Linked DNA regions of Rattus norvegicus. The protein of the gene in region 1 interacts with the protein of each later gene in a biochemical or structural test. Links are inferred from orthologs where the notes say so. Each region holds a gene or a part of one and is shown in the gene's direction. Other genes may lie near its edges.

Region 1 (5,353 bases):
CCCTTATTTAGCACAGCAGGGTCTACTGCGTCTGAATTTGTGTCAGAGTGGACACTGTATTTTTACTAATGCTGTGGGGGAATGGATAGATAAACGGACTTCACAGGCTGCAGTGTACCCCGAATCCTTGCTGTTTCTCCTGGCCATGCGCTCAGGGTCCATCTCTCATGGCACCATCTCCTCTCTCCTCCTTTCCTCTCACTTCGGCCACCCCCAACCAGGTAACTCAAAAGCCACCAACCTCTAATCCCTCCAGTAAATAATAGCTTTGGCCAATTCTGTGTAACAGTTTTAAATCAAGGAGCAAAGCGTGTGCAACGAAAGCTTGTAATCGTAGGCCTAGACCTTCTGGGTAGAGTTCAGCATTCCAGTAGTACACAGCAAACCTCCACTCTCCAGTTCAGTGTCTCTTCAGAACCTTTGTTACTTGCGAGCAGCCGCCCTTCCCGCCTCATATGCATCTTTTATGTGACCGTTTCAGGAAACAGTAGACAGGATCCCATCAAGACCTGCTCCTTACCCTGTCCCTGTTCCTTCTCAGCCATTGGTGACCTTTCCCCGTTTTCTTCCCTCCGAGCGTGTCTTGGGGTATAATTATGTGGAACTGGTCTTTTATACTTCTGTGTTAGCACATGCTGTACTCCCGGGCTATTACTCTTCTCCTCTCTGCTTGCACGGTAAACAACTTTTTCAAGATCTGGCTTCGAATATCAGCTGCCGTGTGTCCTTCATTAAATGGGACAGCACTGGCTGGTCCTTCCACCGAGGTCCAACCATGATTCTTTAAAATCTGTGCTACTGTTGGCCTCACCACCGACTCTCAGAACCTGTGCGCTTCCTTCGCAAAACCCATGTCGTGTTGTCCTCTTCATGTTCCGCCGCGGGTGTGTAATGAGTGGTTCCTTAGTGAGTGTTTGTCGAATCGATGACCAAGTGTAGCAAAGTTCATGGCAAAAAAATGCCATTGTTCCTCAGGTATATAATGGGGAGAAGTGGCTAGCACTGCTTTTTCATTTACACACAAATCCTAAACTTTCCAAACATCATCTGCTGCAGCCTGATTACTGTCTTCAGAATAGGCAAGTGGTCCATCAGCTTGTCCAGCCTGTCTTCCTCTGCCCGGTTCAGACACACTTTATTTCATCATCACCATCACCACCATCATCACCACCATCATCACCACATCACCACCACATCACCATCATCACTACCATCATCATCGTCAGTAGCAATAGTAGTAGTAACAGTAGTAGTAATAGTAGTAGTAGTAGTAGTAGTAGTAGTAGTAGTAGTAGTAGTAGTAGTAGTAATACATTGTATTTATTGTGTGCATGTATATTTTGGTTGTGTACTGAATACCCTTGCCAGGCTGTCTTTTTTTCTTCATTTGTTTATTCTTCCTTTGTGTGTATGGATGGATGCATGGATGCATGGATGCATGGATGCATGTGGATATGTTCAAGCCACATTGCACATGGCTAAGTCTTGCCGGAATGGGTTCTCCCCTTCCTGTGGGAAGGCAGGCAGGGCTGGAACTGAATAGAGACCATGGAGGAGTGCTGCTTACTGGCCTGCTCCCCACAGCTTGCCTGCTTTGCCCTCATGCACAGCCCAGGACTGCAAGCCATCGTCCGTCGGTCATTCAATGGTGCATCAAGGGTACGCCTTCCAGACTCAGCTCCAGGCCAGTGTGATGGAGGCGTTGTCTCAATTGAGGCTCCTCTTTCCAGATATCCCCTGCCACCTACCAAGATGCCAAAAAATGTAGCCAGACACATACTCGGCCCTGTTTCTTCACTGATTAAAAACCAAGAGATTCTTCTTCTAAAGAGCTGGGTGTGGCAGTGCACACTTATGGTTCTAGCACAAGTGGCTGAGATGGAGAGAGCAAGGAGTTCTGGGTTAGCCTGTCTACACAGTGAGACCCTACTTCATACACAAAACTACTATAGATAATTGCACTGCTGAGAGCCTCCTCTGTTCTTGGTGTGTAGCCCATCTACCTTGTCTTAAGTAACTGTCTCCTTCTCTTTGCCTGTTCGTTTTCTTACACTCTTTAAGGTAGGAACTAAAAGCTTTCTTTGAGCTTCCTAGCCCACTTTGGAAGTCACCTGGCTTTTGTTTCTGTGTTACCTATTCGACACTTGTCTTAGTTACTTTGTTGTTGCTGTGAGGAGATAACCAAGGCCGAGGCAACTTATGGAAGAGTTTCCAGGGGACTCAGGTTCTACGGTTTCAGAGAGTTAGTCTGTGACTATCGTGGCAGGGAACATGGCAGGCAGGTAGGCCTGGCGCTGGAGCAGTGGCTGAGAGCTCACAGCTTATCTGAAAGCCAGAGACAGAAAGAAAGCAACACTAGGCCTGGTGTGGGCTTTTGCAACGTCAGAGCCCACCCCCAGTGCCACAGCACCTCCCACACGCACACGGCCTCATATACTAACTCTTTGCAAACCTTCTGCCACCTGAGATGGAGCATGCAATTATACAGTGAGCCTCTGGGCCATCCTCATTCAGAGCACCTCAGGGCTATATCGAGGTTCTTTTGTTGGGGGTTTTCTTCCCACTCTTTCCCAATTAGCTTTTGAGCAAACAACACAGAAACATCACCTTATTAACAAGCTATAACAGGTTCTGAAACTATTAAAACCCAGCTAGTCTATTAATAACCAGATAAATGCCCCATTACTTGACAACTGCGTCTTGCTGTTTCATGAGTGACCTCATTGCGACCTTCTTTGGCGACATGCTCATGGTCTGTCCTGCCTCATAGTAACCTCTTTTTTCCTCCTCTCCTCATTCTCCCTCCCTCTCCTTCATCCTTTCGCTCCCCCCCACCCCACCCCCAATTTGATCTCAAGTCTTCCTGTCCTCTGCCCAGTCATGGGGTCTAGCCTTTTATTAACCAATGAGGGATCATTGGGGAGCACGCTTTACAGCACATTGATTAGTACAGTACACCAAGATTAGGCTGCCGTCTGGACAGGGGCACAGAGCTCAGCTTCTGAACACACAGCGCACAAGACAAAGCCAGGTAGCGCTAGGGTGCGGTTTGCTTTGTGTTATCTCTTCAGATGTTTGCGGTCTCAGTGAGACCAAGATGACAGTGATTTCTACTTCTTTCTAGAGCCAAAAGTAGTTTCTTATACTAAGTAAATACCTGCTTATTTTGTATTTTTACATCCATTTATTTAGTTTTGGGCGGGTGGCTATCTATGAGTGTGTGCTTGTCATCCTATGTGTATGGAAGTCAGGAGTTAGTTCTCTTCTTGCCCCATGTGAACCCCAGGGGTTGAACCCATTGGCAAGTATCTCTTACCCACTTAGCATCTCACCAGCCCTCATTTCGTTATTTTGACCTATTCTTTTTCTAGCCGGCCCTTGTGCCTTTGTGTGTGGTACAGTAGAAGAACTCTGCAGCAGGGGTTCAAGTGTTTACAGACACAAGGAATTCACCACTGAATTTAATAGATTTCCTCGTTCTTTTGTATTTCACATTCAGATTTGAAATTTCAACTTTCATAGTGCCAGTTCTACTTAGTTTTTGCATATTTTCCTAAAAAGACTCAAGTGAGGGGTTGAGGAGGTGGCCCAGTGGTTAAGAGCGCTGGCTGCTCTTCCAGAGGACTCGGGTTCTGTTCCCTGCACCCACATAGCAGCTCACTACCCTTTGTAACTCCACCTCCGGGGGCCTTCTGTGCCCTCTTCTGGCCTGCACTGTCATTTCAGGCATGTGTACATAGACATACAGATAGACAAAATATCCGTACACATAAACAGCTTTTAAAATTATTTTTTGTAAGCGATTTATGTGAAATAAGATACAGAAATCCTGTAAGCTTCTCATATGTCATTAAACAGGATTTAATTAAAGATCTCAAGTCAGAGTTGAGTGGAAACATGGAAGAATTAATCCTTGCCCTGTTCATGCCTCCTACATACTATGATGCCTGGAGTTTGCGGAAGGCGATACAGGTATGCTGTCTTATTTTCTGCGGTTAGTCCGTATTGCTCGTATCTGTACCTCACACGCTCTGATAGTTCCCATGTGCAGATGGATGAGACAAAATTGTTTTGTATCGTCTGAACTACAGCTGAGGTGTCGTCAGAGAACTCCCTTTGCTTCTGTGTAATCCTGCTCTCCTCATTTCATGTAGGGAGCAGGAACTCAAGAGCGTGTGTTGATAGAGATTTTGTGCACAAGAACAAATCAAGAAATCCGAGACATTGTTAGATGCTATCAATTAGAATTTGGACGCGAGCTCGAGAGGGACATTAGATCGGATACCTCAGGACATTTCGAACGGCTCCTCGTGTCCATGTGCCAGGTGAGTAAAGTCAGTGTTAATGACTGTTCGTTAGTGAAGGGACATCATTTGTACCTGTCGCCAGGGAACATTCTTTATTAGTGTTAGCCCCTTGGATTATTGCCATCTTTGTGGAACAACACAGAATGCAGTGGGCAGATTGCTTCTAGTTACTACTGAGACTGAGTTCTGTAAGGAAGAGGAAATAACTTCTCTTAGATTTCATGAAGTCAGAACCTTCCCGAGGCTCTGTGGTGGAGATGAAGGTGAGATCCATGACAGCTTTGCAGTGTCATGTCAGGTAATGTGGGCCACAGTGAAAGTGCCAGCGGGTGTCCAAGGCAGAGGAGCAGAGGTAGGAGCACAGGAGAGTACTGCAGTTGGCGTAACTGCGAGCTTTCCCACGTGCACCCCAGTTCCCGAATAATGAAGGCTTAACTATTTACGAGTAAATGTGTAGGCTGTAACCTTGCGCCTGTTCCCCAACTAGCTCATAACTTATATAAGCCATTAAACTATTCTATGTCCGCCACGTGGCTGCTTACCTCTCCTCAGTTTCATATGTCTGTCTCCTCAGAGTCCGGGTGGCAAATCTTTTCCCTCACCTGTCTGTCTCCTCAGAGTTCCTATCTCTACCAGCACTCCCTCCCTCACCCCCACCCCGCACCCCCTGTAAGCCCCGCCCCCTTGTTAGCCCTGCCTTTTGCTCATAGGCCATCAGCATTTGATTGACAGGTGATGCTTCTACACAGTACACAAGACATTCTCTCTGCAGTTGGCATCTGCCTTATTATTCCCCAGGTATGCAGAGAGGGGACAGGAAACACTCCAAGAGCGTATGTAGAATAGTATTAAAAACAGGAAGCGGGGGTTGGGGATTTAGCTCAGTGGTAGAGCGCTTGCCTAGCAAGTGCAAGGCCCTGGGTTCGGTCCCCAGCTCCGGAAAAAAAAAAGAAAAAGAAAAAAAAAAAAACAGGAAGGGAAGGTTGATGTGTTTGACAGACACACAAAAGACTAACACACTGGTAAGTATCGGGAGTTACAGGCTG
Region 2 (5,864 bases), on another chromosome or scaffold:
CTCTGGGGAAGTCATTATTCCTCGGGGTGACTCATCTACGAATACAATAGACTTGATCTTAGAACAGGCAAAATTGTTTGCTAAGGGCCGTACTTCTTGAGTCATAAGCTTGCCATGGCTTACGAACTTCTGCCCGAGGGTCACATCTGGCCGCCTCTGTTGGAGTACATCTGAGAGCTGGGAATGATATTTCTTCCTGTCTTTAAAAGACAGGAAGGAAATAGTTATCCTGACATTCAACAACTCTATTAGATTCAATGAATAAAGTTGTTCTGGAAAACAGCCACACTTTTGACATATGTTCTGTCCTCAGATAGTGCCAGGCTATGAGAGCCAAGATGCCACTACAGGGAGCATGGGATGGAAAATATCTACTTTCTGGACATTTTCTCCCCACCCCTAACCCCAGGGGCAGAGCTAGAGTACCTAGTGCCATAGCCCAGCTTTGAACTCATATTCTCCTTTCCTTGCTGTCCCTCAGCTCTTGTTTCTGAATTTCATAATAAAAGCACCTATCTCAAAGAACTTTATAAGGACTACACAAACAGGTAAAGTGTTTTGAAGGTCTGACATCTGACACTCATTAATTACTTTGTGTGTGCCACACACACACACACACACACACACACACACACACACACACGCGCGCGCACGCATGCACACACATTTATCTTTGTTGTAACTATTAGTTGCCACATATTTTTTTCCTGAACCTGAAACAGCAAGGGCATACTAATTTGCCGGCAATCACTGTAAAGATTTCATTTACAGCCCTCCATTAAAATTCGCTTGTTAAGGGAGAAGGAGTGACCAGAGCCTAATGACTATTAATGTAACAATTAGCATAGTCACTTACCAGACAAATGAATCCTGCATTAGTTACCAACACTTTATCAGGGACACATATTTTTTTGTGTTCTTTTAAACATGAGTCCTGAAAGAGCTTAAATTCAAGTGTGAGTTCAGTGCTGATCATCTAGCTGGTTAAAAAGTTCCACAATGCAGGACAAGACCTCAAAATGCCTAATCAATGACCATGGTATTTGAAAACAGTAATTTTATCTCCGGAGGCAGACATAATCCAAGCCACACCTTTGTCATGTGATCATAAGGACTATTTAGAATTTTTCTCAGTATTCATAACTTTCATGTTTTTGGAGTTTATGTACCCAAAGAGAACTTGAGAGAAGTTAAGGTCTCACACTGTGATCAGTTTTGTTTATTAAAGTATTTCTCAAAATGTTAAAAACAAAACAAAACAAAAAACCAGGCAGCCACAGTGACTCATCTGGAGGCTGAGGCCATGAGAGAATAGCCTGAGAACCCGGGCCTCAAAAGAAAAGAGTAAGAGCAAACAATCAAAAACAATCAATCAATCAATCAAACAAACAAATAAACAAAAAACAGTTCAGTCCTTTACAGTCAAGGGCAAGCAAACAATTATCTCTTGAAAATTGCGCTGAAAGCCGAAAAAGAAACTGAACCATCTTCTGAACAACCCAAGTGAGTTACACATCCTTTTCAGTAAGGTTCACCATCACGGATGTTTCTATTTGAAACATCCAGAAAATTAAACAATTCAATATTCCACGAATGATCTGGGTGAGGCTCTCCTGCCTAGAAAATGCCCTCTTCTACCCCACCGCACACATCCACGCCTAGCAATCACACCTGAGCTGCACCCAGCTTAACAGTTGGCAAAGAAACAGGCCACCGTCATTCAAAGCAAAAAGCTCTCTTGCAAGGTCAAGTTTCACCTGGCTATCAAAGGTTCTTTCCTATTTTGCAAAGTGTCCCCTTCACCCACTGGAGTTGTTCTTCCCATTCCTACAACTGTGCACATCGTCCTTATCCCATCCTCCCTATCCAATAACTTGGTGTAAATAGTAAATAAATGTTCCACAAAATAGCACAGTAGGAGGAAGAAGAAAATCCCCTAGCGGTGCCTGGATGTCGGAATGTGCCACTAGACGGAGAGGGAGATTAGGTCCTGCTATAAACTCGTTTGGGGTCCTGGGTCATCGTCTGGCCATGGGTCGCACGCTGTGCTAACACTGCACGGAGGCATCAGGGTGCGGGCGGCACTCCGGGTGGAGCAGGGCGATCAGGGTGGATGGCGGCGGGCGGCGGAAGGCGGGCGGCGTCCCCCACGGGGCCTGGTGGTGCGCTCCGGGGCGGCTCTGGGCCGACGGGCCGAGCAGCAACCACACAGGGCGGAGGCGCAGTCTGCACCATGTCGTATCCCGGGCACCCTGGCGCTGGCGGAGGGTACTACCCAGGCGGGGTAAGTGCAGCGGGTGAGGGCACAGCAGCCTCTCGGCTCCAGGGACTGGAGGGCGCCACGGACGCGCGGGAGGAGGCGCCGCGGGCGGTCCCAGACGCTCCCTGGGAGTTCGCCTGGACCCTGATGTCCAGCCTTGGCCCCACTCCATATTTCTTCCCCATCTTTTCCTTGTGCCTTTCCCGGGCCCACAGGTGGGTGGGCTGCGACCCGGGAAGCCTACTCTGTGAGTCGGTTATGTGGCGTGAGATAGTGCAAACTGGGTGTTGACTTCCTGCTCTCTCTCGGAATGTCCCCAAGCAACAACAGCCATCTTGATCTAGAATGGTTCTGTGGTCACTCCCTGGAAAAGAAAGTGACAGGTCGGCCAGAAAGACTGGAGAAATAAGCTGAAGTCCTAGAGGAAGACCACTTCGCCAGATGTTGGAGATGTACTGTCAGAGACTGAAGCACCCTCATCTTAGATACAAACGGACCATCCTTCTTCCCAAGCCACACCTGTCAGCCCTGTACTAACTCCAGCCTTACCTAGTACTTCAAGTACTTTTAAAACACTACTAAAGCTGTAATAAACCATCAGGAACACAATCCCGAGCCTAAGCTAGTTAATAGGGATTTTAAAGTGGCTTCCCATATAATGGCATCACCTTCATGGAGATTTATTTTGGACCAAGTCTCCAGCTTTTAATGTCAAAGGAGCAGGAGTGGAAAAGCCTGGTGGGTCACTGAGCCGGAGTGTGGTGTGGTGTGGCGGTGGGGAATTAGAGGCTGTGAAGGCCACACGGTGTCAATTGTACAAAAGCCTTGCATGGTGAAAGAGTAGACTCAATTCTGTGTCTGATGCCTTTATGTTTCTTTTTCACAGTGTGGAGGGGCTCCTGGGGGGCCTGTGTTCCCTGGACACACTCAGGACCCGCTCTATGGTTACTTTGCTGCTGTGGCTGGACAGGTTAGCCTTTCTTTTGTTATTGAGGAATTGTTATATTCTGCTTGTGTTAGCATTTCTTGCAGGGGCACAAAACTATCTTTGCCCTGGAAGTGAGTCCCTTTGCCTGAAAAAAAAGAAAGAGGAGAAGGAAATGAAAGCATTGTTTTAGATCTGAACAAAGCAGGACAGAGTGTTTGTTGTGTGTATTGATAACAGATCGGATTAAAACTAAACTTGTGATTAAACTGGGGTTCGATTGACCCGAAGGGGGATTATGAAAATACTTCGAAGATCTACAAAGTTTAAAGGTGCCTTTAGGACTGAATTATCAGGGCAGAGCAAGGGCTGCTTACAGAAAAGAAGTTCAAAATCTGAACATAAAACTGTGGCTTGCCCAACCTAAAAGCACATATCGGTGATTAATGATTCTATAGCTCCATTACGACTGATAGCTACTTTCAGTTGAATCCGATAATTAATCGTTTACCCACAAAGGAGGTAGAGAAGTTCTGTAAAAGAGCTTCCAAGCACAAGAGTGACTGTCACTATTAGGAAGGTGGCCTCTACCCTAGGTGCAGATGCTCCTGTGAGGCTAGCTTTCTATGCCCTTTTTAGGTGTTGTGGCTGGATGACCCACAGAAGGAATGCAGGTCAGCGAGTCCTAAGGCCCACTTCCTCACTCAGAGAGTTTTATGACAGATGCCTATGGCTACTGTGGGGAAGGACACGTGCCTGCCTTGCAAGGTCACTGTGTTTGGTAAATATTCAGGGATATAATCCAGATGTGTCCAGAGAGGACCTTCCTACTTATTCACCTTAGACTTGTTTTAAACAAGAGTCCGAAAGAATGAGATCGTGATTTTAAAAAACCAACCAAACATAAACAAACAAAAAGTGCTCTAGAATATGCTAAGCAAAATCTTCCAGCCGCCTCGGATGAGGTGGTGCTCTAAGAAACCCGACTTTGAGAATTTGAATGGAAAATTGAGTCGAAGACTGGGAAACTTTCCTCTCGAGTGTCTACTTAATCCGTTATTGATCCGTGTCTTTGAAACCACAAGACGAAAGCACACCTCAAGGCAAGCATTCTTAGATTGCCAGTGTCTTCAAGCATGTAAGCAACTCCACCTGCTTGGCTTTCAGTAGCACTGGCCTCTATTTCACACATTCATCTTCTTGCAAATTATTGATCCCGTCCCTATTTATAACGCGATGGCTCTCACCAACTCGGATTTATATATTTTATTTAAAATCCCTAGAAGTGTTGTGTGTCTTATTCTGACCTCAGTCAGTAGGTATTGGTATCTATATAATTGTGCTCGGAAAACCCTGTCTCCCGAGTCAAGTTGACCCAAGGGCCTCTTTCTCCTTGGACCTGACCTTGTATTTCCTGATGCTTAAAAGTCTATGATAGACCCTACTTCCCCACTCTTTTAAAAAGGGGGTTGGAGGGCTATGGTTTTAAACAACTCTGTGAAATAATTTTAAAGTGGTTGATGTTGATAGCTTCTTGGGTCAAACTGGGTGCGGGCTGTTTGCCATGGCAAATATTCTCTCACCATTGGATTATTTTTGGAATTAGGGTAGGGAGAATTTTGAAAGGGGTTCCTCTAAAGAAATGCTACATATAACTAACTACTTTCTCCTGTCAGTGCTGCTTAGGGACTTGAAAATGCAAATCACTGCTCTGATTTCCTCTCTCGGTTTTTGTTTCTTTTTTAAAGGACGGACAAATTGATGCTGACGAGTTGCAGCGATGCCTAACTCAGTCTGGCATAGCGGGAGGATACAAACGTAAGCCTTGGGATCTTTCTAACGGTATTCTTGTTCTCTGTACCTCGGCGGCGGCGGACGGCAATTGTTCCTTTAAAGAAATCAGACTTTTCTCATCCATCGAGCTATTATTTTAAAAGGTTCATAGAGCATAGTTCCTAGCAGGTTCCCTGTATTCCGGGACCATTCAAACCAGTGAGACGATTTGGGCAGCCTCCCACACGGAGGACAAGTTAGGGTGCTGAAATGGAATCCACCAGGTCAGGTATCATTAATGCTAAGTGCTAACAGGCACCAGTGACTTTGCCAAGTGCTTGCTCTATCCTAACTCTGGTGGCACTGAGAGAGTGGCCAGTCTGGCTGTCTGATCTCTGGGCCCTGGGCTTACCTGGTAATACAAACACTTGCCGGCCATGACGTCGCCTAGGTCATTCTTTCTGTCACCTGAGAAGATGTGTTCATGCTGAGGACAGAGTCCCCTTCCTGCTTTCGCTCCATGCCAGCCTTCTGCTCCCTCCTCTGTCCTTTACAGACAGTATGCACTGCCCCACTGTTCATCCCACAGCCTACTGCCCTGACTTCTCAGAACTGTGCTCCGGGAAGCAAATCGGAAAGTAAACGTTGCAAAGGTGTTGAATCCTGGCTGAGGCTTATTATCCCACGTGCCCTGGGCTGGTTGGTTGGTTTGGTTTGTTTCATTTTGTTTTAAATCTAATCTTGACCACGAGAAGTGTCTGGGGTAAATAATAAATACTGTCTTGGCCCGACTGGGCCACCTTCTAACTTCTTTGCACTTGTTAACGAAGTCAGAACATCAGATGGGCCCCTCCACTTTATAGCAAGCGGTAAGTTAAACTGCTCAGAGCTCACACCTGAGGACTG

Evidence for each region.
Region 2: the proteins of Anxa7 (region 1) and Sri interact in a biophysical measurement, tested with the Homo sapiens proteins (2 studies listed by BioGRID and IntAct, with this or other methods). The link is inferred for Rattus norvegicus from reciprocal best matches to the Homo sapiens genes ANXA7 and SRI.

Annotation. Positions count from the first base shown.
Region 1 is NC_086033.1:3,886,947-3,892,299, forward strand, and holds part of Anxa7 (annexin A7), read left to right. Parts: intron 1-3,858; coding exon 3,859-3,972; intron 3,973-4,154; coding exon 4,155-4,325; intron 4,326-5,353. UniProt on the Homo sapiens protein: Calcium/phospholipid-binding protein which promotes membrane fusion and is involved in exocytosis.
Region 2 is NC_086022.1:26,939,012-26,944,875, reverse strand, and holds the start of Sri (sorcin), read left to right. Parts: upstream 1-2,233; coding exon 2,234-2,284; intron 2,285-3,146; coding exon 3,147-3,230; intron 3,231-4,933; coding exon 4,934-5,003; intron 5,004-5,514; coding exon of another isoform or gene 5,515-5,600; exon of another isoform or gene 5,601-5,765; intron 5,766-5,864. UniProt on the Homo sapiens protein: Calcium-binding protein that modulates excitation-contraction coupling in the heart. Contributes to calcium homeostasis in the heart sarcoplasmic reticulum. Modulates the activity of RYR2 calcium channels.